5 linked regions of the Callithrix jacchus genome follow. The protein of the gene in region 1 purifies or fractionates together with the protein of each later gene. This does not show direct contact. Links are inferred from orthologs where the notes say so. Each region holds a gene or a part of one and is shown in the gene's direction. Other genes may lie near its edges. The genes, in order: SNAP23, VAMP2, VAMP8, NAPA and STX6.

Region 1 (4,274 bases):
CCAGCGATCTCATTTGAAATGCTGCAGAAACCTACTTTCCATTACAATATCTCATTAATATTTTTATGACACACGTAAATGTAATTGGCAACTGTGTAGTAGATACTAAATAAATTCTAGTTGCATCTGAATACTGTCGTCCCTTATTTCATTCACGACCAAACTTGAGAACGGGCCTTAAAGCAAAAAAAAAAAAAATTTTTTTTTGAGATTGAGCCTCTCTCTCGCCCAGGAGGGAGTACAGTGGCGCGGTCTCGGCTCACTGCAACCTCCGCTTCCTGGGGCTCAACCGATTCTCTGCCTCAGCCTCCAGAGTCCTGGGATTACAGGCGCCCACCACCAAGCCCGGCTAATTTTTTGTATTTTTAGTACAGACGGGGTTTCACCGTCTTGGTCAGGCTGGTCTTGAACTCCTTGACCTCGTGATCCACCCGCCTAGGCCTCCCAAAGATCGCAGGCATGAGTCACCGCGCCCGGCCCTTAAAGCAAATTTTAAGGTTTCCCATGGGATTTACAACAGTACTAAACTCTTAGTAAGTACTCAAAAGTTATTTGTGGTTTGAATAGGCTGGATATAAACCATTACGGTGGATACAGCACTTGTTTGCTAAGCAAGAGAACTTCCCTGACCTAGAATGGCAGTCTCAAGTTGCTAAAAGCGAATCTCGAACTTCTCAACAAATCTTACTCTCAAAGATGATTAAACAACAAACTGAAATGGGAGGAGGGTGTAAAGCGTTTCCTCTCCATAACTATAAACCGAGATTCTGACTAAATATTAAATGAACACAGTAACCGCTCCATAATTAGTTGCCATTATTAAGATACATCACACACGGAGAGAAAGGAAAGGAGAAAAAGGAACGAAGGTTGTCAGTCGCGAGAGGTTGAAATGTGTCGCGGGACCTGAGACTACCGGCTTTAAGCACCAGGGTCTTTTGGACTCCCTGCCCAACTGAGGACCGAAGGTCAGCGGCTTCCCCTAAAGGTCAAGGCTTTGGAGCCACATTTCCTTCTGGGGCTGGGAGCAGAGCTGGAACGCCCCCACGAAAATCCGTACCCCGAAGCCAGCAGCACCGCCTGCCTGTAATCCCGCGCCGGCTCTGGGAGAGTGGACCGCTGGGTTACCCCTGCGCCGCAGCCTGCCGGAGCAGAAAGCGGGCCGCGTCTTGCAGCCACACAATCTCCCTAAGGGACAGACCACCAGGACCCTTGGGCTCCAATACGCTCAACGCAGGCCGGCCCATCGATACTCACATTCACAGCCAACCCCTCTTACTCCATCAGGCCGCCGAGAGACAGGCGAGGGAGCTCCCTGACGCCCCAGACTCCCCCCTTCAGTTTTGGGTCCGGGAGCCTGCTCCGGACCCGCTCCCCGCCGGGCCCTGCCACAGCCGCCGCCAGCGCGCAGGCGCACAGCGAGGCCGTCACGCTCTTTTTTTTCCTTTGCCTGCAGCCGTTCTCAATAATCTAGCTTTATTTGAACACAAGAGAGTGAACAACGGACACACAGGAAGAGGTTTTTCTCAAAAAGAATGGAGGAAGAACAAAGGCAGGTCAGCTTGCGGGAGAGTCGGTCCGCAGCATTGGACGCTATGAACAGTCTCCCTGGTCCCTTTTTCATTTTCTTTATTTCTCCTTGTTCTTTCCCGGCCTCCCTCTAGCTCCTTCCTTGGTGTCCCGCCATTTCCTTTAGTCAGTGGCAACTGTTCAGGCTAAAATTTGAAATAACTCCTTCCTTGTAAAATTTACTAAAATTTAATGGGAGGTGCAAGAGCTTTTAGGACAGACCTGCCCGAGTTTCAGATCTCGGACTAGCTACTAATAATTTACGACTTTGGGTAAATTAAAATTTTTCTTGGAACCTCAAGATCTTGAGTTAAAATTAGGATAATGTTGGGCCAGTCACGGTGGCTCATGCCTGTAATCTCAACACTTTGGGAGGCCGAGGTGGGTGGGTCAGGAGATGGAGACCATCTTGGCCAACATGGTGAAACCCCTTCTCTACTTAAAAAAAAAAAAAAAAAAATAGCCTGGTATGGTAGCGGGCGCCTGTAGTCCCAGCTACTCAGGAGGCTGAGGCAGAAGAATCGCTTGAACCCGGGAGGCAGAGGTTGCAGTGAGCCGAAATGACGTCACTGCACTCTAGCCTGGCAACAGATCATGACTCGGTCTCAAAAAAAAAAAAACAAACAAAAAACCCTAAAATTAAGACAATGTTATCTCACAGGGTGTTGCTAAAATTAAATAACATAGGTCAAGTGTTTTATCCATGAATGCTGCCTATCACAGAGCAGACATTCCATTATAACTGGTTTTATTCTTACTCATGCCTAAGGTATTTATAATTTTTTTTTTTTTAGGTAGAAACGGGTTTCACCATCTTGCCCAGGCTAGTCTCAAACTCCTGGGCTCAAGTGAACAGCCTTCCAAAGTGCTGGATTACAGGTGTCACCCACTGCGCCCAGCCTACATTTATTATTATTACTGAGACGAAGTCTCACTCTGTCATCCAGGCTGGAGTGCAGTGGCACTATCTTGGTTCTCTGCAACCTCTGCCTTCCGGGTTCAAGCAGTTCTCCTGCCTCAGCCTCTCAAGTAGCTGGAATTACAGACATACACCACCATGTCCAGATAATTTTTGTATTTTTAGTAGAGATGGGGTTTCGCCATGTTGGCCAGGCTGGTCTCAAATTCCTGACCTCAAGTGATCTGCCCGCCCCGGCCTCCCAAAGTCCTGGGATTACAGATGTGAGCCACTGTGCCCAGCCGCCTATATTTATTATTAAACTTAGCTCATACCCATTCCCTCAGAGCCGTAATTTTAGTGACTGAGACTAATCAGATAAAGGAAATGACATTAAGGTTGATCATTATGTGAAGTGTTCCTCTTATATTATTGAGATTATAACATCTCTGTTTAACCAGACCGTCAATGCCTCAAATAAAAGTGAGCAGTTACATTCATCTCTATGTATATCCAGATTTGCTTCTAGAGGTTCAGGAAACTTCCAGTTCTGTGTTTGTGACATCACAAGTCCTTGAAACACTCAAGGGCTATGGTATGCTGCTCATTTTACTCTCCTTCAAAGGCATGCAATGGAAGAACTATTTTGCCCTGTAAACTCTGGCCCATCGTTCAAGGAAAAGCCTTTAGAAGACCACAGTCAGATATTGGTGATTATTAAGGTAAGCTACTTTAGTGTTTGTCAACTTTGGGATTACTGACATTTTTGGAACATATACTTTTTTGTTGTCAAGGGTATTATGTGCATTATAAGATGTTTAGCAGCAGATCGGGAGCACTAGCTCACATATGTAATCCTAGAACTTTGGGAGGTCAAGGCAGACAGATCGCTTGAGTCCAGGAGTTTGAGACCAGCATAAGTGACATGGTGAAACCTCATCTCTACAAAAAATATGAAAGTTAGCCGGGTGTGGTAGTACACACCTGTACTCCCAGCTACTTGGGAGGCTGAGGTGGGAGGATCTGAGCTGCAGAGGTAGAGGTTGCAGTGAGCCAACATCACACCACTGCCCTCCAGTCTGAGCAAGACCCTGTCTCTCTTTCTCTCTCTGTCTGTCTCTCTCTCTCTCTCTCTCTCTCTCTCTGTGTGTGTGTGTGTGTATGTGTGTGTGTGTGTGTATGTTTAGCAGCATCACTGGACAAGATGCCAGTAGTATCCACCCCCCATTTCCCTGTTATCACAGACATTGCTAAATATCCTCTGGAGGACAAAAGTGTCCCTGGTTGAGAACCATGGAATTATTATCAATGACCATCCCAACCCTAAATGAACTCAACTGTGCATTTTCTCCACCTCTGCCCTTGAAAAGTGACTACTGCTTGAGAAAGCTACACAGGAAGGGAGAAAATGGTGAGTTCATTTTTGCCCATATTAAAAAGGCCCTCAGTACTGCTTACCAGTCCTACAATGTTTTTCTATCCATTTCTTGTATTACTTTCTACAATATTCCAAATCTTCTCAACTTTCCTTTAAACTCCCAATACTATCTCCTTTTCTGTCAGATGATCCTATCTCCAACCTCACAGAGAAAACAGGTCATCAAATGAGAACTTTAACTTCCTTTTACTAAACATACAAACAGACACATTCTTCCTCTCATAATTGGGGAAGGAAGTATCTTCACTCTCTCTCTTTCTCCCTCCCTCACTTCTTCCAAAACCACTCCTCTCACCAGTGCTTTGAACTGCCTCGAAACTGCTGCTATTCTTACCCTTTCAAGAACTTTCCCTACTGACTATCCCTTCT
Region 2 (4,038 bases), on another chromosome or scaffold:
TGTACAGCTGCTGGGTGCACCTAGAGGTCCTAATGGAGACCAGCCCCAGATGGATCAGCGGTAGGTGATCTCCTACCACGATATCCACATCAAGCCATTTAAAAAATAGGAATTTAGTACCTACATGTGCAATATATTTGGGGTCCAGAGAGAGGAGGGCAACTGTCCAAGGTCACACCTGCGAGGTGAATACGCATGTAAAGTAGCACCCTGTAACCTGTTCTCCCTGTGCCTATTATTAAAGAGAAAAAAATGAGAGAAAAAGGCTTTTTTTGTTTTTGTTTGGCCCAGGTCCCGTGCCTGGGACCAAAGCCTGAGCCCTCGCCTGCAGTCGGGGTCGCTGACCCAAGCCTGGGGCAAAGCTAGGTCTTGGCCAGCCAGCAACCTACCACGTGAAGCAGCCCCCACCAACCCACCATTCCCGGCAGCCTTGTTTCCTCCTCCTTGGGGTCCTCAGCCCACCTCCGTCGGCCCTGCTCCAGCAACTAAGTACCCCTAGTCTGAACTTCAGTCGTGAGGCGGGGCAGCCCCCTCCTCACCTACTGTAGACACTCCCCGTCCCCCGCTCCCCGGACTAGTTTGGGCGGGAAGAGCCTGCCTCATCTTTTCTTCCTACCCTCCTACCCAGTGGCTAGGGACCCCAGGCTTCCTCTGAGACATCCACCAGCGAGCGGGGTGATGGGGTGGGACTAACCTCCCTCACTCCCCACCACCCGAGCAGCAGGGTCCCCGCTCTTGGCATTGCCCCAGCATCTGCACTAGCTCCCTCTGATTTCCCAACCCCAGCCCATTCCAAGTGCTGAAGGCGGGTCGCTCGGTGCTGGGGCCTGGGCGCGGGGAGAGACCTTGGGCTGTGTGGGGTGCTGGCTGGTTTACTGGGATCACGATTGCGGGGGGTGGTCTGGGGCTTAGGTGTGGGGTCGGGCTGCAGTGTGTCCTTACTAAGGAGAGTTTGGGGGCGGCTGTGGGAGGCTGTGGTCAGAGGCGGGTGGCGGTGGGTTTGGGGAGGCCGCAACAGTCCACCTTGGGGTCCCTCGAGTGGTGAAGGAGCTACCCCGGCGCTGGGGCTCCAGGCCCGCGGCCCCGCCCGGCACGACCCCAACACGGCAGCGCCCCGCCCCCGGCCCCGCTCCCGATGCGTCTCCCGCGGAGCCCCGCCCCCGCCTGCAGTGCCCGGATGCGGGTGACGCGCGGCCGCCATCTTCCCGTCCCGGGCAGCCAGCGCCAGTCGGAGCCAGCGCGAGCCGCTGCCGCCATCACTGCCGCTGCCAAGTCCTCCGCCCGCTGCCCCCGCCATGTGAGTCGGCTGCCCGCCACCCCCGCCGCGCTTCCCCGCGCCGGCCGCCGCCCTTGGCAACCGGCCTCGGGGAGTGCCCGGGGTCTCGTCCGCGTCCCCCGCGTTCCCCACGACCCGGGGCCAGGCCCAAGCCGGTGACTGCGCGCAGGCGGCCGAGGAGCCCCGCGTCCCGGGCTGGCCGGCTCGGGCGACGGCCGCGGGAAGGAGCTGACTCGGTGTCTTCCTGCCCCGCCCCGCCCCTGTCGCCGCGGCCGCCTGTCTTTTCGGGTCGACCCCTATCGCATCTATGAGGTCGCCCTCATTTGACAGGCGGGGAAACTGAGGCCGGGGGAAGGGGGGCTCGCTCAAGGTCACGCAGCCATTGGTGGCGGGGCTGGACCGAGACCAGGGCTTTCATCGGGTGGCCTTCCTCCCGAAAAGGAGGACTGGAGGGACGAGGATGGACAGGTGGATGGGCGGAGCCCTGGCTGTGGGGCCGGGAGGCTCCAGGCCCTGGATCTTAATCCGTCCCTGCTCCTCAGGTCTGCTACTGCTGCCACGGCCCCCCCTGCCGCCCCAGCTGGGGAGGGTGGCCCCCCTGCGCCCCCTCCAAACCTCACTAGTAACAGGAGACTGCAGCAGACCCAGGCCCAGGTGGATGAGGTGAGTGTGGGGGAAGTCAAAGGCAGCAGGAAAGACCCTGGGGATTGGCATATAGGTGTAGGGGCCCATGTTGGTTTGGGAGTGATGACATTTCACACCTGTGGGTTTGCGGACAAAGATACCATGCCCCATCCCTGTCTCCCTGTCAGCACGCACCTGGAAGGGCACTAGGGATGTTAATCAGCTTTGCTAGCCTGGGGTGTGCCAGCCTGGGCAGGTGTGCTCTGGTGATGGACAGAGCGCCTGGGGCTCCATAGAGAGAGGGTGTTGCTGTGACATCTGAGATGTCAGCAGCATGCCCCTGATGTGTGCTCCTTGCATGTCCCCAGGTGTGCTAGGCATGTTCTGTGTGTCCTTGGCATGTTAACCTGGCGCATCAGGGTGCATGTTCCATGCATGGCATGGTGGGCACATGTTTGAGGATTGCCCTCACTGAGGTGGGCCTTGGCACACCCCCCTGCCTCGTGGGCCCCTCTCCCAGGTGGTGGACATCATGAGGGTGAACGTGGACAAGGTCCTGGAGCGAGACCAGAAGCTATCTGAGCTGGATGACCGTGCAGACGCGCTCCAGGCAGGGGCCTCCCAGTTTGAAACAAGTGCAGCCAAGCTCAAGCGCAAGTATTGGTGGAAAAACCTCAAGGTAAGGGTGGGGACAGATAGGGGACTGGCAGGTGAATGGAGTATCATGATTCGTCTCACTGATCCTTCCCTCTCATCCCCAGATGATGATCATCTTGGGAGTGATTTGCGCCATCATCCTCATCATCATCATAGGTGAGTAGGGTGGGAATGGCCGGGGAGGTTCCCCCAGTAGATTCTGGGTTTTAAAGGTCATTAACCTAGTTTTACTCTTCAGCCAAAAACAGTCGTAGCTGCTAATGGCAATTCTGATTCATCTAGAGCCAAAAACTTTGATGTTATTTAGCTTGCAGTTTGCCTGGTTCTGGACAGTTTTTGTTAACATTTGGAAAAAGGAAAGGTGATGTATCCATTAAGGACCCTTTGGGCCTAAGAGCCCAGTCCAAGAACCCTGAAACTGATGAGTGGGAGAAAGGAAAGGCCCAGGGGCTTGAGACATGACCAGGAAGACAACCACCCCATGATTTGAGAACTTGTGGTCTCAGAGGCTCAGAGGATTAGCATCTGTGGCCTCATGGCCATACCATGGAGTTGAAGGGACCTCAGAACCTACCTGTCTAGCCCCCTGCTTTGTAGATGGAGAAACTGAGGCCAAGAGAGGGGAAGGGGTGTCAACCCGCTGGGGAGTGGGGAGGATTGGAGCAGGGCCAGGCCTGACACACTGCTTTCTTTTTTTCTCTCTCTCTCTCTTTCTCTCCTCCTCCCCTCTCCTCCTTCCTTATCTTCTTCCTCTCTCTCCACAGTTTACTTCAGCACTTAAATCCCCGAGGAGTCTGCCCTGCCTAGAGAAGGGCCTCTCCCCCCACCCTCAGCCGTTCCTCCACCTCTCAGCCATATCTTTCAGTCCCCCTCCCCTGGATCCGTGTGTGTCTGTGTGTCCCCCTGTAAATAGCCAGCTGTTATTTATACATATATAATATTATATATATTTGGTCTGTTTGTAGTTTTATTACTAGAAGATTTTTCCGGTTGTCCTTAACACCCCTTCCTGAGGTTCCCTTCACCTCCTCTCTCTTGCCTTCCTTTCCTTTCCCTTTCTTCCTGACTAGCCCCAAGTCCCTTCATTTGCATCTGCTATGCAATAGTCCCTCTCCTCTCCTCCTCCTTCCCTCAGATTTAGCTGATCCATCCTCCCACCCTGGCCTTCCTTTCCTCCTCCCTCTCCCCTTCATGCTCCCTGTGCTCCGCCCTCAAAAAAAAAAAATGAAAAGCACCTGTCCGGGCTTCCTTAGGTGCATCTTTTTTGCATCCATTAGGAGGCTCTGAGACTGGCCCCACTTGGTCCTAAGAATCCCAAGGTCTTTGGGAGCGTCCAGCATGTTAATTAGTGTATCATTGCATACTGCAGTCTCTTTCCATTTCTTTTTGTTCTATCACTCTTCTCTTAACCTGTGTTTCTTTTTTTCACTGAGGAGTTAGTCCCCATTAATACTTGTATTACATTTTTGTTTGCACGACAT
Region 3 (4,165 bases), on another chromosome or scaffold:
GAAGCTGACATTTCCTCCTTGGAACTGATTTCTTCTGGAATGGGTCAAGAATGTTCGTTCCCTTCTGAATGTCCCTGTTATTGTTCTTCCGTCTTGATAAACACTGTCAAGGAAGAACAGATTTTCTCTGGCCTAGAGCCAGGTTAGTGGAAAAATCCTTTGCCTTGGGCCCCCTGCTGTGGTCCACTGGGCCAGTCCTCTGATCACTGACTGGGATAAATGACCTCCACAGAGTCCCCTGAAGGGAAATGCAGATTTGCTGAACTCTGGAAGGGAAGAAGGGGATTGTTGGTGAGCCATCATTACGGACACTGTGCTAGAGGCATTGCACTGCACATGCTATCTTTTTGCTTCTTTTTTTTTGAGACGGAGTCTTGCTCTTGTTGCACAGGCTGGAGTGCAATGGCACTATCTCGACTCACTGCAACCTCCACCTCCTTGGTTCAAGCGATTCTCCTGCTTCAGCCTCCCGAGTAGCTGGGATTACAGGCTTGTGCCACCATGCCTGGCTAATTTTTGCATTTTTAGTAGATACGGGGTTTCACCATGTTGGCCAGGGTGGCTTCAATCTCCTGACCTCATGATCTGCCCGCCTCGGCCTCCCAAAGTGCTGGGATTACAGGCGTGAGCCACCGCACCCAGACCTCTTTTTGCTTCTTACCAGCACCATCTTAGCTAAGCATCAACACCTGCCAACTCCGCAGAGGTAAAAAGTTTCACTCAGGGGCCTGCAACTAATAACCCAGAGCTTTCTGACATCAGAGCCCAGGATCACAGTATTCCAGACTTCAGGGGTTTTAGTGCTTTCTGCCACCCAAGGACCTGAGAACGAAAGCTGTCCAGCAAGAAATTTTCATAACTGCATTCTATTTCCCTGTGAACTAGGCCTGGCATGGTTGATCTCGGTGTCTAGAAACTGGAGTCAGATATTCAAGATATAAAAAGGAAATCGCTAGTGGGGCGTCATGGCTCCTAGGACTTTGGAGGTTAAGGTGGGAGGATCGCCTGAGCCCAGAAGTTTGAGACCAGCCTGGGCAACACAATGAGACCTCGTCTCTATTAAAAAAAAAAAAAAAGATATGGCTGCTCTTTCTAGATCAGGAGGTCCAGCCTCAGAAAACCTAGGAGGGCTGCTTGATCTTTCTTTTCTAATTCCTGACAAGTTAGAAGACCTTTGGCATCTGAGAGCCCTTTTGCTTTAAGCTTAAGCTCTTGTTTGGGAAGCCACTGGGAGACTGCGAAGAGTGCCCGCCTACCTGGGGAAACCTGAGTTAGGTGTGGCTGGAGCGACTCGAGATGCGAGGTGGGCGGGGGCAGGCTGAAAGTTGGAGCAAGCAGGAAGTGAGCCGAGGGCCACCCTAGGAGGAAGCCGACGAGGCGAATTCACCTGCTGACCGGCCTGAGCTGCTCTGAGATATGGTGAGAGAACCGGGAACGAGGAAAGGGCTGTTTTAAAGAGGGGCCAGAGGGGGCTCGGGACCGGGGGTTAACTGTGATGGGGGAGGAGAGTTGGTGGCAAAGTTAGAGGGCTGGGCCAGTGCTGCCTGTGGCCTCTCCTCTTTGACAACTTGGCTGCAAATAGCTCTGAGCCGTCCTGGGAGGTGTTCCTACTCCTTTTCCCTCCCTCCCTCCCCTGACCTCTGTGCTCGTCACGAGCTGGGCTTCGGTGCTGGTGCCGACGGGGCTCCGAATTCCAGGCAAATAGTTGTTACGCCTTCCTCCTCCAGGGAGCCCCGAGGCGGGTGTTGTGACGCTACAAGGCAGCGCCCCAGCAGTTCCCAGTTCAGATTCCAACCCAGTGGCAGGAGCTGTCTCGGGCCTTTCACTTTATTCCCACACAGAAACACAAGGGATTTGTGTGTCCACGGAGTCCTTCGGGTGTCCTTTCTCCATTAACGTGAAGAAGAGAACTAAGCGTTTATAAAGAACCAGAAATTGGTTCTCTGTGATAATCCAGTTCTGACCCGTGCCACTGGCTTGTTTTTGGAGGTCAAGGAGGGAGGAGCTTAATAGTATTTTTCTCTCCTTGTTCAAACACTTGGTCATGAAGCTTCCCAGATGAGACATCAGCCAGGGAGGACTAGTCCTCCATTTCCCCCAATGCCAAGATGGGTGTTTTTATTTAGCATCTGCATAAGCAGGCAGTTCCTTGGTACCTGCACGTGGTGCCCAGTGGTGGGGAAAGCAGAAGTGTGTGGCTCAACGGTTCCTGGCGCCTTCTGGGGGACTTGGTTGCCTGTTGCTCTGGGTCACAGCAATGGCATTGTAGCCAGAGCAGGGCTCCAGCAGCTGTCTTGGAGGGACAGATAGGTTGGGCTAGGTGAGGATATTTTGCTGGCCAGCACAGACACTTTCTTTTTTTTTTTTGGCTCGAGTCTGGCTCTGTTGCCGAGGCTGGAGTATAATGGCATAATCTTGGCTCGCGGCAACCTCCACCTTTTTGGTTCAAGCGACTCTCCTGTCTCAGCCTCCGAGTAGCTGGGGTTACAGATACCTGCTACTATACCCAGCTATTATATATATGCGTGTGTGTATATATATATATATGTGTGTGTGTGTGTATGTGTATGTGTATATATATATATATATATATATATATATTTTTTTTTTTTTTTTTTTTTTTTTTTGAGACAGAGTTTCACTGTTGTTACCCAGACTGGAATGCAATGGCACGATCTCAGCTCACCGCAACCTCCGCCTTCTGGGTTCACGCAATTCTCCTGCCTCAGCCTTCCGAGTAGCTGGGACTACAGGCACGCACCACCATGCCCAGCTAATTTTTGTAGTTTTAGTAGAGACGGGGTTTCATCTTGTTGACCAGGATGGTCTCGATCTCTTGACCTTGTGAACCACACGCCTTGGCCTCCCAAAGTGCTGGGATTATAGGTGTGAGCCACCACGCCCGGCCTATTTCTTGTATTTTTAGTAGATATGGGGTTTCACCATGTTGGCCAGGCTGGTCTCAAACTCCTGACCTCATGATCCACACGCCCCATCCTCCCAAAGTGCTGGGATTACAGGCCAAGCCACCACACCTAGCACAGACACTTTCAATGAGGATCCAGAGAAATCAGGAAAGGGGGGGTGGCTCCAGGCATTGTAAATAGTGGTGGGCTCTGCCCTGGCGGGGAACACTGTGAGATGCAATGCGGCTCTGCTGTATTCTATGGCCCTCTTTAGGGAGCAAGGAAGCAGTGGGGAGGGATTTAGTGATGTGCTGCTTTTCCTTGTCAGGGGCCCAAAAAGGAGTTTGATCCAGTCTGTTTAGCATCACATCTCACCTTCTGAGGCTTACAAATGCATTTATTTTTTATTACACAATACATGAAAACATTCTCTTTGTAAACATTTCAAGCATTTTACAAAAAGCTAAAGTCTGCCTGAGGCCTTACACTCCCCAGACCTCTGAGGCCAATTCTCCAGTTCCCCCAGCACTTGTTCTAATTAACCCCATGTTGCTGTGCAGGAGGAAGGCAGTGAAGGTGGAGGAAATGATCGCGTAAGGAACCTGCAGAGTGAGGTGGAGGGAGTTAAGAATATCATGACCCAGAATGTGGAGCGGATCCTGGCCCGAGGGGAAAACTTGGAGCATCTCCGCAACAAGACAGAGGATCTGGAAGCCACAGTGAGGACGGGAAACCCACTGGGGGTTGGAGGAAAAGAGGGAGGAAGGGAATTTCTTTTTGGTGGGGCAAAATAAACACGAGGGCCAGAAGTTAGCCATTTCTGTTGCTTTTCACCAGGTTTGGGAGCTGATATGAGCAGTCTCTACTTCTGAATCTGCTCTGATCCACAGATTGTTAGGGATCCCAGGGAATGGATCCCATGACTGGGGCTTGAGGTGGCAGCTCGCCCATAGAGGCATGTTCTGAGACCAATAGCTCAGTCAGCCCCTGCATTCTTAGGATTCTCTCCTGGGAAACTGAATTTCCCTTTGAAGCCTGCCCAAGACAATCATTTGCATCTGACCTTCCCAGGGCAGAAATATTGGCTCTGAGGAAACTCCCCTATGGCCTCTAGCCTTCTCTAGGAGCTATTAGGCAAAGGGTGAGAAATTGCTGGCATCTTGGTAAGTTGGCTTTAAAAACAAGCTGGAAAGAGCAGTAAAATGCTTTGATCCCAGGGTCCCCTGCTAGATGAAGGCTAGAATAATATCTCCCACACA
Region 4 (3,512 bases), on another chromosome or scaffold:
AAGGTGCATGGGCTGGAACCTGAGGCCTCCCTGGGGAGCTCTGGGTGTGCATGGAGGAGGCTGACAGGTGGCTGTTGGCCTGGGGGCAGAGCTGGTGCTCTTGGCAGGGGTCTCAAGCCCTCCCTCCCATCCTGGTTTCTCCAGAGCCTTTTGCCAAGTGATTCTGGGCTGGTCCTTCTGCCTCTCTGGCCTCTCTATCAGATGCTTCCTCAGGGCCAGGGCCTCAGCCAAGTGCTCGTGCTCACATCCTCTCTGGTATCACACCATCTGTGCCCCCGTGGGTCGGATAGAATTAGGCGGAGGCCCTGGAGTGGCTTGCCCAAGGTCACCTGCTCAGCCCAGCACGCACAACCAGGAGTGCTGGGGCCCTCCGTTCTCACCCGTGTCCCCCCCTCTCAGTGTCTTCTTCATGTCTCCTCGAAGGCGTGGCTGAGGGGTGGGAACCTGAAGGGTCATGGGTCAGCAGGGGTGCAGGGCCAGGCATGCAAGAGCTCACCAGGCACAGGCAGCCCCTTCCCGTGTTCCCTCTAGGGCCGATTCACGATTGCGGCCAAGCACCACATCTCCATTGCTGAGATCTATGAGACGGAGCTGGTGGACATTGAGAAGGTGAGTGGCAGCAGGGCCCTGCCTGGGCTGGCAGCCAGGACCAGCGCGGCTCTGTCTTCTTCCCACCAGGGGACTCCTCTGGTGTCTGAGTGCTGAGAAGAGAGGGTGGGGGACCGGCAGAGGTCAGGTAAAGGGGTCTGGCTGTGTCCCAGGCAGGCAGGGCGGAGGGTGTAGAAGCTGCATGAGGCCTCCTCTCCCACCGCTGCTCAGCTCTGAAACCTGCCCCCGTGTCTCCCCAGGCCATCGCCCACTATGAGCAGTCCGCAGACTACTACAAAGGCGAGGAGTCCAACAGGTAGCCCCCTTCCTGCCTGCCCCTCCCCGCAGGGACCACCACCACTTCCCTCACTCCTCCTCCCCACACAGCTCAGCCAACAAGTGTCTGCTGAAGGTGGCTGGCTACGCCGCGCAGCTGGAGCAGTATCAGAAGGCCATTGACATCTACGAACAGGTGGGGAACAGATGGCGACCCTGCCCGCTCTCAGGACATGTGCCTCCTCCTAGGAACCAGCACCTTGTTTTGGAACCACCCCTCCCCCAGCTCGCCCTCTGCCTCTCCCGATCCCCTCAACCCCATCCTCAGCCTGGCTGAATGTTCTCCACCTATGACCCTATGCCATGCTGGCACCCTCTCCCTGGCTGTGCCCCTCCCACACCCCATGCAGAGTTTCCTGGAGGGATCCAGAGTGAGGCTGGCCAAGAACAGAGTCAAAGAGAGAACGGAAAGAATTGCCAAGGGGCCCGGGGTGCCTGTGGGCACCCTACCCCATGACACAACGGTCCTCATCCACAGTGAGCGGGAGGGAGTGTCACATGGGCTCCTTGCAGTGTGCACACAGCCCTGGGTGATGGCCGAGAAACAGGCAGGCAGCTGGCCCCGGGGGAGAGAGGGGCGGGCACCGCCTCTCATGTTCCCGCCGCCTGCCACCCCTCTGCCCACCGCTGTGCCAGCCTCCCGTTGGTCCTGACAGCCAGACTGCCTCCTCCCCACTGTCTCAGGCTCTCGGGAGGCCCACGGACACCTGGCTACAGTCTCAGCCACCGTCATGCCCTGATCTTGGCTGCTCACGCACTGGCCACTGACCTCCCCAAGCTGGTTCCTGGCTCCCTGCCATTAGGGTCCTGGGTTCACAGGCCCTCACCCCAGGACACAGACCCAGCTCCCAGCTGGCTCCCGGTGCTTGGCAGTGGCCCTGGCCCTCTGGCTGCTTGCCCTGAGCTCACAGTGCTACTTCATGGCTGCAGGTGGGGACCAGCGCCATGGACAGCCCCCTCCTCAAGTACAGTGCCAAAGACTACTTCTTCAAGGCGGCCCTCTGCCATTTCTGCATCGACATGCTCAACGCCAAGGTAGTGCGCCCCGCGCCGGCCAGGCCACCATGTGCCTATCACCAGGCCAGAGGGGGTGTGCTCGTCCCTCACGCCTGGCCCCTGCCAGCTGGCCTTTGGAGGAGGAGTGTGGTTCTCACCGCTGTGTTTCTGTGCTGGCGTCACCTGCCGCTGGTCCTGGAGGCTCTTGCGGGTCTAGCTCCTGCCTTACTGTGCTCTTTCCTTCGTGGGTACACTGTTTGAATCCTCACTGCACCCCATAAAGTCAGCACCATTGTCACCTCATTTTATGGGTGAAGATGCTGAGGCTGGGACGAGAGTTTGAGGCCATGTGCGTAGGGACCTGCAGCTCAACGTTCCAGAGCTTCGTGACTGCCGCTGTAATGCCTTTAACTGGAGCTCACATGCCCGCCTGTTTTCAGGGCACTTGGCAAAAGGGGCCAGAGAGGGCAGTGGGTCGAGGGCATGGCCAGCAGGAAGGAGCCAGAGGGTTGGCACTAGACTTTGCTTGGCTGGAGTTTTCCCACCATTGCCTGGCAGGAGCACAGAGCCCAGGATTTCCTGGTCCCCCTGGCTGCCCAGCCCCTGCCTCACAGCCCTTCCGAGCCCTGCTCTGCTGTGACCACCAGCCTGGGCTTTGCCAGACCAGGTTCACATCCCCACCCTATGTCTCACCGTGCCCTGGGCACGTCACTGCCCCTCTGGATCTGTTTCCTCCCTTTAAAAAGGGTGCTCATCATTATTTGACCCTCTCAGAGTCCTCAGGAAGCACCAGCCCCGGGCCTGGCATGGAGGATGTGCTCATTTGCCTGCTGCCCCAGCTGAGCCAGGTGGGAGGAGGCAGTGGGTACCTGCCTGGGGAACCTTCCCCCTCCACCCACCACTCTCTGCAGCCAGGATGGTGCTGAGCTCAGCTCCGGGGAGGTACTGACAGGCACAGAGCCAGGTGACACCTGAGGCTTGGGGAGGGGCGTGCAGCGCTGACTCAGTATCACCAGCCATCCCCAGGTCCTCTCGGCTGCCAGGCCAGCAGCTCTGAGGGCCCTCTCATGACTGACTCGCCCTCCTCCCTCCCTGCTGTCCAGCTGGCTGTGCAGAAGTATGAGGAGCTGTTCCCAGCTTTCTCTGATTCCCGGGAATGCAAGTTGGTGAAAGTAAGTGCTGAGTGCTCCAGCCTCCCACTTCTCAAACCAGATGCGGGTGGCCAGGGTTCACGTGGGACAGTCACTGAGGCTTGTCCAGTGGTTCTCAGAGGGTGTCTTTGTGTTGTTTTCTTTGGCCAGTTGAGTCTCCATTTTCCAGATGAAGAAAGTACAACTTGGGGAGTGTTAGAGCCCGGGGTGGGCTGGGTGGACACACACCACACATGACATGCACACCACACATACACCACACACACCACACATGACATGCACCCCACACACACACCACACATGACATGCACACCACACACACACACCACACATGACATGCACACCACACATGACATGCACCCCACACACACACCACACATGACATGCACCCCACACACACACCACACATGACATGCACCCCACACACACACCACACATGAC
Region 5 (3,512 bases), on another chromosome or scaffold:
CTGACCATCCATGGATCATGTAATCAAGAGGAAGACCTCTGCATGCAGGCCCTGGTGTGACCATGGGAGGTTTTGTGACAGTCCAGGCAGCTGTCCCTGTACCCTGTCAGCGTTTCCCTCCCCTCTCTCACCTTCTGATTCTTTCCTGTGGGCTCCCATAGCACCTTTTGCCTACCCTTACTATGGCACTTGTCAGAGTACTTTTACTGTTTTCATGTGTTTATTCTGCACCTGTTGAGCACGTTCTGTGTGCTAGGCTCTTTTAAGGGCTATAATTACTTACTGTCTTTCTCTCTGCTGGGCCCCAGGCCCCTTGAGAGTGAGGAGAGATCTGTGTCTTGGTTTTTAGTTGTTGGGTTTTTTTTTTGAGCTCTCTAGTAGTTACTACATTGCCTACCCATGGAACACAATAGACATCTATGGATTGACATTTGATGTAAAGACATTAGAGGAACCTTAAACTTGTGTCTTAAATTTCTCTTTAAGTAGTTTTTTAAAATTACATACTTTGGCATATTTATAGAAACTGCTTTCTAATTGTTAAAATATAGTTCTTTAAAAAAATGTAGAATGGTCATCTAGAATTTGGACTTTAATTTAGATTGAAATTTGATTTAGACTTTTTTGGTGGGATAGAATGTTTTTTGCCTGTTGCTAAACTGTTAGGTGATTTTTTTATGGAAGTAGTTTTTTAAAATTCTGTGGATATCCATTTTTCTTAGGAGTAAACAGTAAATAGTATCATGAAAAATGATAGTTTGTTTTAAATGAATTATGATTCCAGAAAGTTACGAATTGTCCGTATAGTAGGCTCTTGAGAAATCTTGCTATTTTTACTTAACTAGCAATCAGTACTTTATAACATAAATCCTTACTTTATACCTGTGGGTGTTTGTCAAGCCACTTCATTTTGAAAACAAATATGAAAGCTTGAAGAAGGGGGAGGGTTCTATAAATATCACCTCACTTAATTTTTCTGTTTGCTTTTCTTGCATTCCATTTTTCAAGTCATTGTTTTGTTTTTGGCTTTTTAATCTTATTTGCCTCCTTTGCTTTCTTTTTGATCAGTACAGCTAGGAAGAGCCACTAGCTGGTTCATTCCGTCTGGCTCCCTCTCTTGAAAGAAGCTAGTGAATGGCCTCAAGTTGGCTAGTTTTGGAGTTCTCTTCTCATTTGCACTTGACCTTATAGGAAGTGGAAGTACCTGAAGTAGTTGTGGCAGTGAAGTTGGTAACACCTATGCTGCCACTCTAACTTGAATGTTTTATTCTCTAGATAGTATAGGCTACTATCCACATTAGTATGGGCTAATGTGGATAACATGGGCATATGTATTGCCTGTCCAAGTGTGGCCTGGAATTTGGTTTTAGGCCATGAGCGAAATGTCAAGTTGCAAATGTTTAAGGAATGGCAAGGCCAGGGCTTTCTAAGCCTCCTGCAGGCCTGGGCCTTGCTGTGTCATGCCAGGCACCAGGTATTGTGCTGCTCCCTCCACCAACCCTGCTTTGGCACCCACGCACAGGTGCATCTCCCAGCGCTTGGCTCCTCTCTCAATCTCTTTCCTATTAGACCTCTGGGGTCAGACCAATGAACTTTAAGCACCTTTACAATAAAATGTGGATGATTTGCCCTATACTTAGCTCTGCCTAAGTGTAGACCATGGAAAATGTAGGCAAAATAGCCCTGTGACCTCAGGAGCACATAAGGCCCTGGTGATGTCCCAGTTCACTGTCCTTAGGCATTACAGCCTTTTTCTGACCCTAAAAAAATTGTCACTAGTTCCTCATGTCTTCCATAGAGGTCCTTAGAGTCTGGATCAGAATGAGCAGGATCTTTTCAGTGTTGACAGCCCTAAGACCAGGTCAGGGCAGAGCCACCCACAAAAACCCTTGGATCTGCTTTACACCAGAGACAGTCACCATCTAGCCTCTTGACTGGACTGCCCTGGGCCACTGGAAGCTCTTGTAAGAAGAGCTTCTAATAACTGAGCCTCTTAGAAACTCTGCTAATAACAACCTCAGAACATAGCACACTGCATCCCGAGCTGCCCTGATTGTCCCTGAAGTCTGGCCATTTGATGGAGCTCACCCCTTGCAGTCTGGAATAAGTCAGTGCCACTATGAAGGAAGATCATGAGGCTGTTAGAAGGGTTTCAGATAGAACCAAGTAAACAGTCAGGCTTTTAATAGTGCCAGAGATTTTTTTTTTAATTACCTAGTAGGAAATGGCAACTCAACAAGAAAAAAAGTCTTAGTTGCTGGCGTCTTCTGGCTCTTGGCGCACGGCTGGTGTGAGCAGTTACTTTGACCTGTCAGAAAGGCTTGTGGGAATCTGGTCAGAACCAACTGTGGAGACTGAGCTCTCACATTCCGGCCTGGCCTCTTCATGTGAGGAAGACATACCCAACCTTACCCATTTATGGCTGCAGACTTCCCTGAATTCGTACTTCAGAAACCCAGCCCTGTTGTCTGGGAGCCGTGGTGGAAGACTGACTTTAGGGCAGCCCTTGCCTAGGTTGCCAAGGTCAGGGATTCCTTGTGGTCACACCTGCCTGGTGAAGGAACCCCAGTTGTCATCTGGAAAGCCTGAAGGACCCTGGATTCTATTCATGGGTTAAACTTTACAGACATTGATGGTTCTTAAGCCTTTTGTGTGTGAAGGACTATGGCTTACCTGCTTGTAGTTTGAGGGACCTCTCCTTTTCCCCCCACCAAAAACCCCAAAACTTCCCTGGGTCACACTTTTCTTAAAAAAGTACTTTAGATCTTTGGAATCAGGTTGACTGGAACCTATGGGTTGCTGAAGTTCCACAGGTGCCAGGAAGAGCTCTTTGACAAAAGATTGAGTGCTTTTCAGTTATAACACAGTATCTAGATGGGCGTTTGCTGATTTAGCAGGCATTTATTTGCACTTTAAGGGGACAAAGCCCATTGTGAGGCCTGTTGGGAGAGCTTGAACACAGAGAGGGCCCTTCTGGAATTCCTTAAATTGTACCACACAGGCACCAGACTACACCACTAGATAAAAGCCTGGCCCAGGGGAAAATAGATGATAAGAAATGTGAAAACCCTTTATATCACTCTCGATGCTTCACTTGTTCAGAGATAGTAACCGTTTGTTTCTCCTGACTCCTCCGGTTGTCCTGCTCACACAGGCACTGCTGGGAGACAGTGGCAGCCAGAACTGGAGCACTGGAACAACAGATAAATACGGGCGCCTGGACAGAGAGCTCCAGCGAGCCAATTCTCATTTCATTGAGGAGCAGCAGGCACAGCAGCAGGTACCCCAAGGGGCCCAGGCTTAGGATGGGGCAGTGGGAAAAAATAAACACACCTTAGTTCCTTTGCCAGCCATGGGGTCTCATGGCTTAATGACAAGCGGGGTAAGCCAGAGCTTGTCCTGTGGTTTATTATGTTTAAATATTTAATGATTGCATGCATAAAGAGTTTCAATCTTCACAGCATGACTGCTTCAAGAGAACCAAGCTCAGCCAGGCATGGTGGTTTATACCT

Evidence for each region.
Region 2: the proteins of SNAP23 (region 1) and VAMP2 purify together in Homo sapiens (affinity purification with western blotting; 4 studies listed by BioGRID and IntAct, with this or other methods). This does not show direct contact. The link is inferred for Callithrix jacchus from reciprocal best matches to the Homo sapiens genes SNAP23 and VAMP2.
Region 3: the proteins of SNAP23 (region 1) and VAMP8 purify together in Homo sapiens (affinity purification with western blotting; 3 studies listed by BioGRID and IntAct, with this or other methods). This does not show direct contact. The link is inferred for Callithrix jacchus from reciprocal best matches to the Homo sapiens genes SNAP23 and VAMP8.
Region 4: the proteins of SNAP23 (region 1) and NAPA purify together in Homo sapiens (affinity purification with mass spectrometry; 4 studies listed by BioGRID and IntAct, with this or other methods). This does not show direct contact. The link is inferred for Callithrix jacchus from reciprocal best matches to the Homo sapiens genes SNAP23 and NAPA.
Region 5: the proteins of SNAP23 (region 1) and STX6 purify together in Homo sapiens (affinity purification with mass spectrometry; 3 studies listed by BioGRID and IntAct, with this or other methods). This does not show direct contact. The link is inferred for Callithrix jacchus from reciprocal best matches to the Homo sapiens genes SNAP23 and STX6.

The regions. Positions count from the first base shown.
Region 1 is NC_133509.1:30,176,113-30,180,386, forward strand, and holds the start of SNAP23 (synaptosomal-associated protein 23), read left to right. Parts: upstream 1-1,472; 5' UTR 1,473-1,556; intron 1,557-2,984; exon of another isoform or gene 2,985-3,092; 5' UTR 3,093-3,189; intron 3,190-3,711; exon of another isoform or gene 3,712-3,837; 5' UTR 3,838-3,878; intron 3,879-4,274. UniProt on the Homo sapiens protein: Essential component of the high affinity receptor for the general membrane fusion machinery and an important regulator of transport vesicle docking and fusion.
Region 2 is NC_133506.1:74,637,169-74,641,206, reverse strand, and holds the start of VAMP2 (vesicle-associated membrane protein 2), read left to right. Parts: upstream 1-1,226; 5' UTR 1,227-1,295; coding exon 1,296-1,297; intron 1,298-1,818; coding exon 1,819-1,939; intron 1,940-2,420; coding exon 2,421-2,579; intron 2,580-2,661; coding exon 2,662-2,713; intron 2,714-3,321; coding exon 3,322-3,338; 3' UTR 3,339-4,038. UniProt on the Homo sapiens protein: Involved in the targeting and/or fusion of transport vesicles to their target membrane. Major SNARE protein of synaptic vesicles which mediates fusion of synaptic vesicles to release neurotransmitters.
Region 3 is NC_133515.1:27,446,699-27,450,863, reverse strand, and holds the start of VAMP8 (vesicle-associated membrane protein 8), read left to right. Parts: upstream 1-1,355; 5' UTR 1,356-1,416; coding exon 1,417-1,419; intron 1,420-3,466; coding exon 3,467-3,625; intron 3,626-4,165. UniProt on the Homo sapiens protein: SNAREs, soluble N-ethylmaleimide-sensitive factor-attachment protein receptors, are essential proteins for fusion of cellular membranes.
Region 4 is NC_133523.1:41,431,572-41,435,083, reverse strand, and holds part of NAPA (alpha-soluble NSF attachment protein), read left to right. Parts: intron 1-531; coding exon 532-609; intron 610-848; coding exon 849-904; intron 905-975; coding exon 976-1,060; intron 1,061-1,854; coding exon 1,855-1,959; intron 1,960-3,023; coding exon 3,024-3,092; intron 3,093-3,512. UniProt on the Homo sapiens protein: Required for vesicular transport between the endoplasmic reticulum and the Golgi apparatus. Together with GNA12 promotes CDH5 localization to plasma membrane.
Region 5 is NC_133519.1:39,281,134-39,284,645, reverse strand, and holds part of STX6 (syntaxin-6), read left to right. Parts: intron 1-3,154; coding exon 3,155-3,280; intron 3,281-3,512. UniProt on the Homo sapiens protein: SNARE promoting movement of transport vesicles to target membranes. Targets endosomes to the trans-Golgi network, and may therefore function in retrograde trafficking.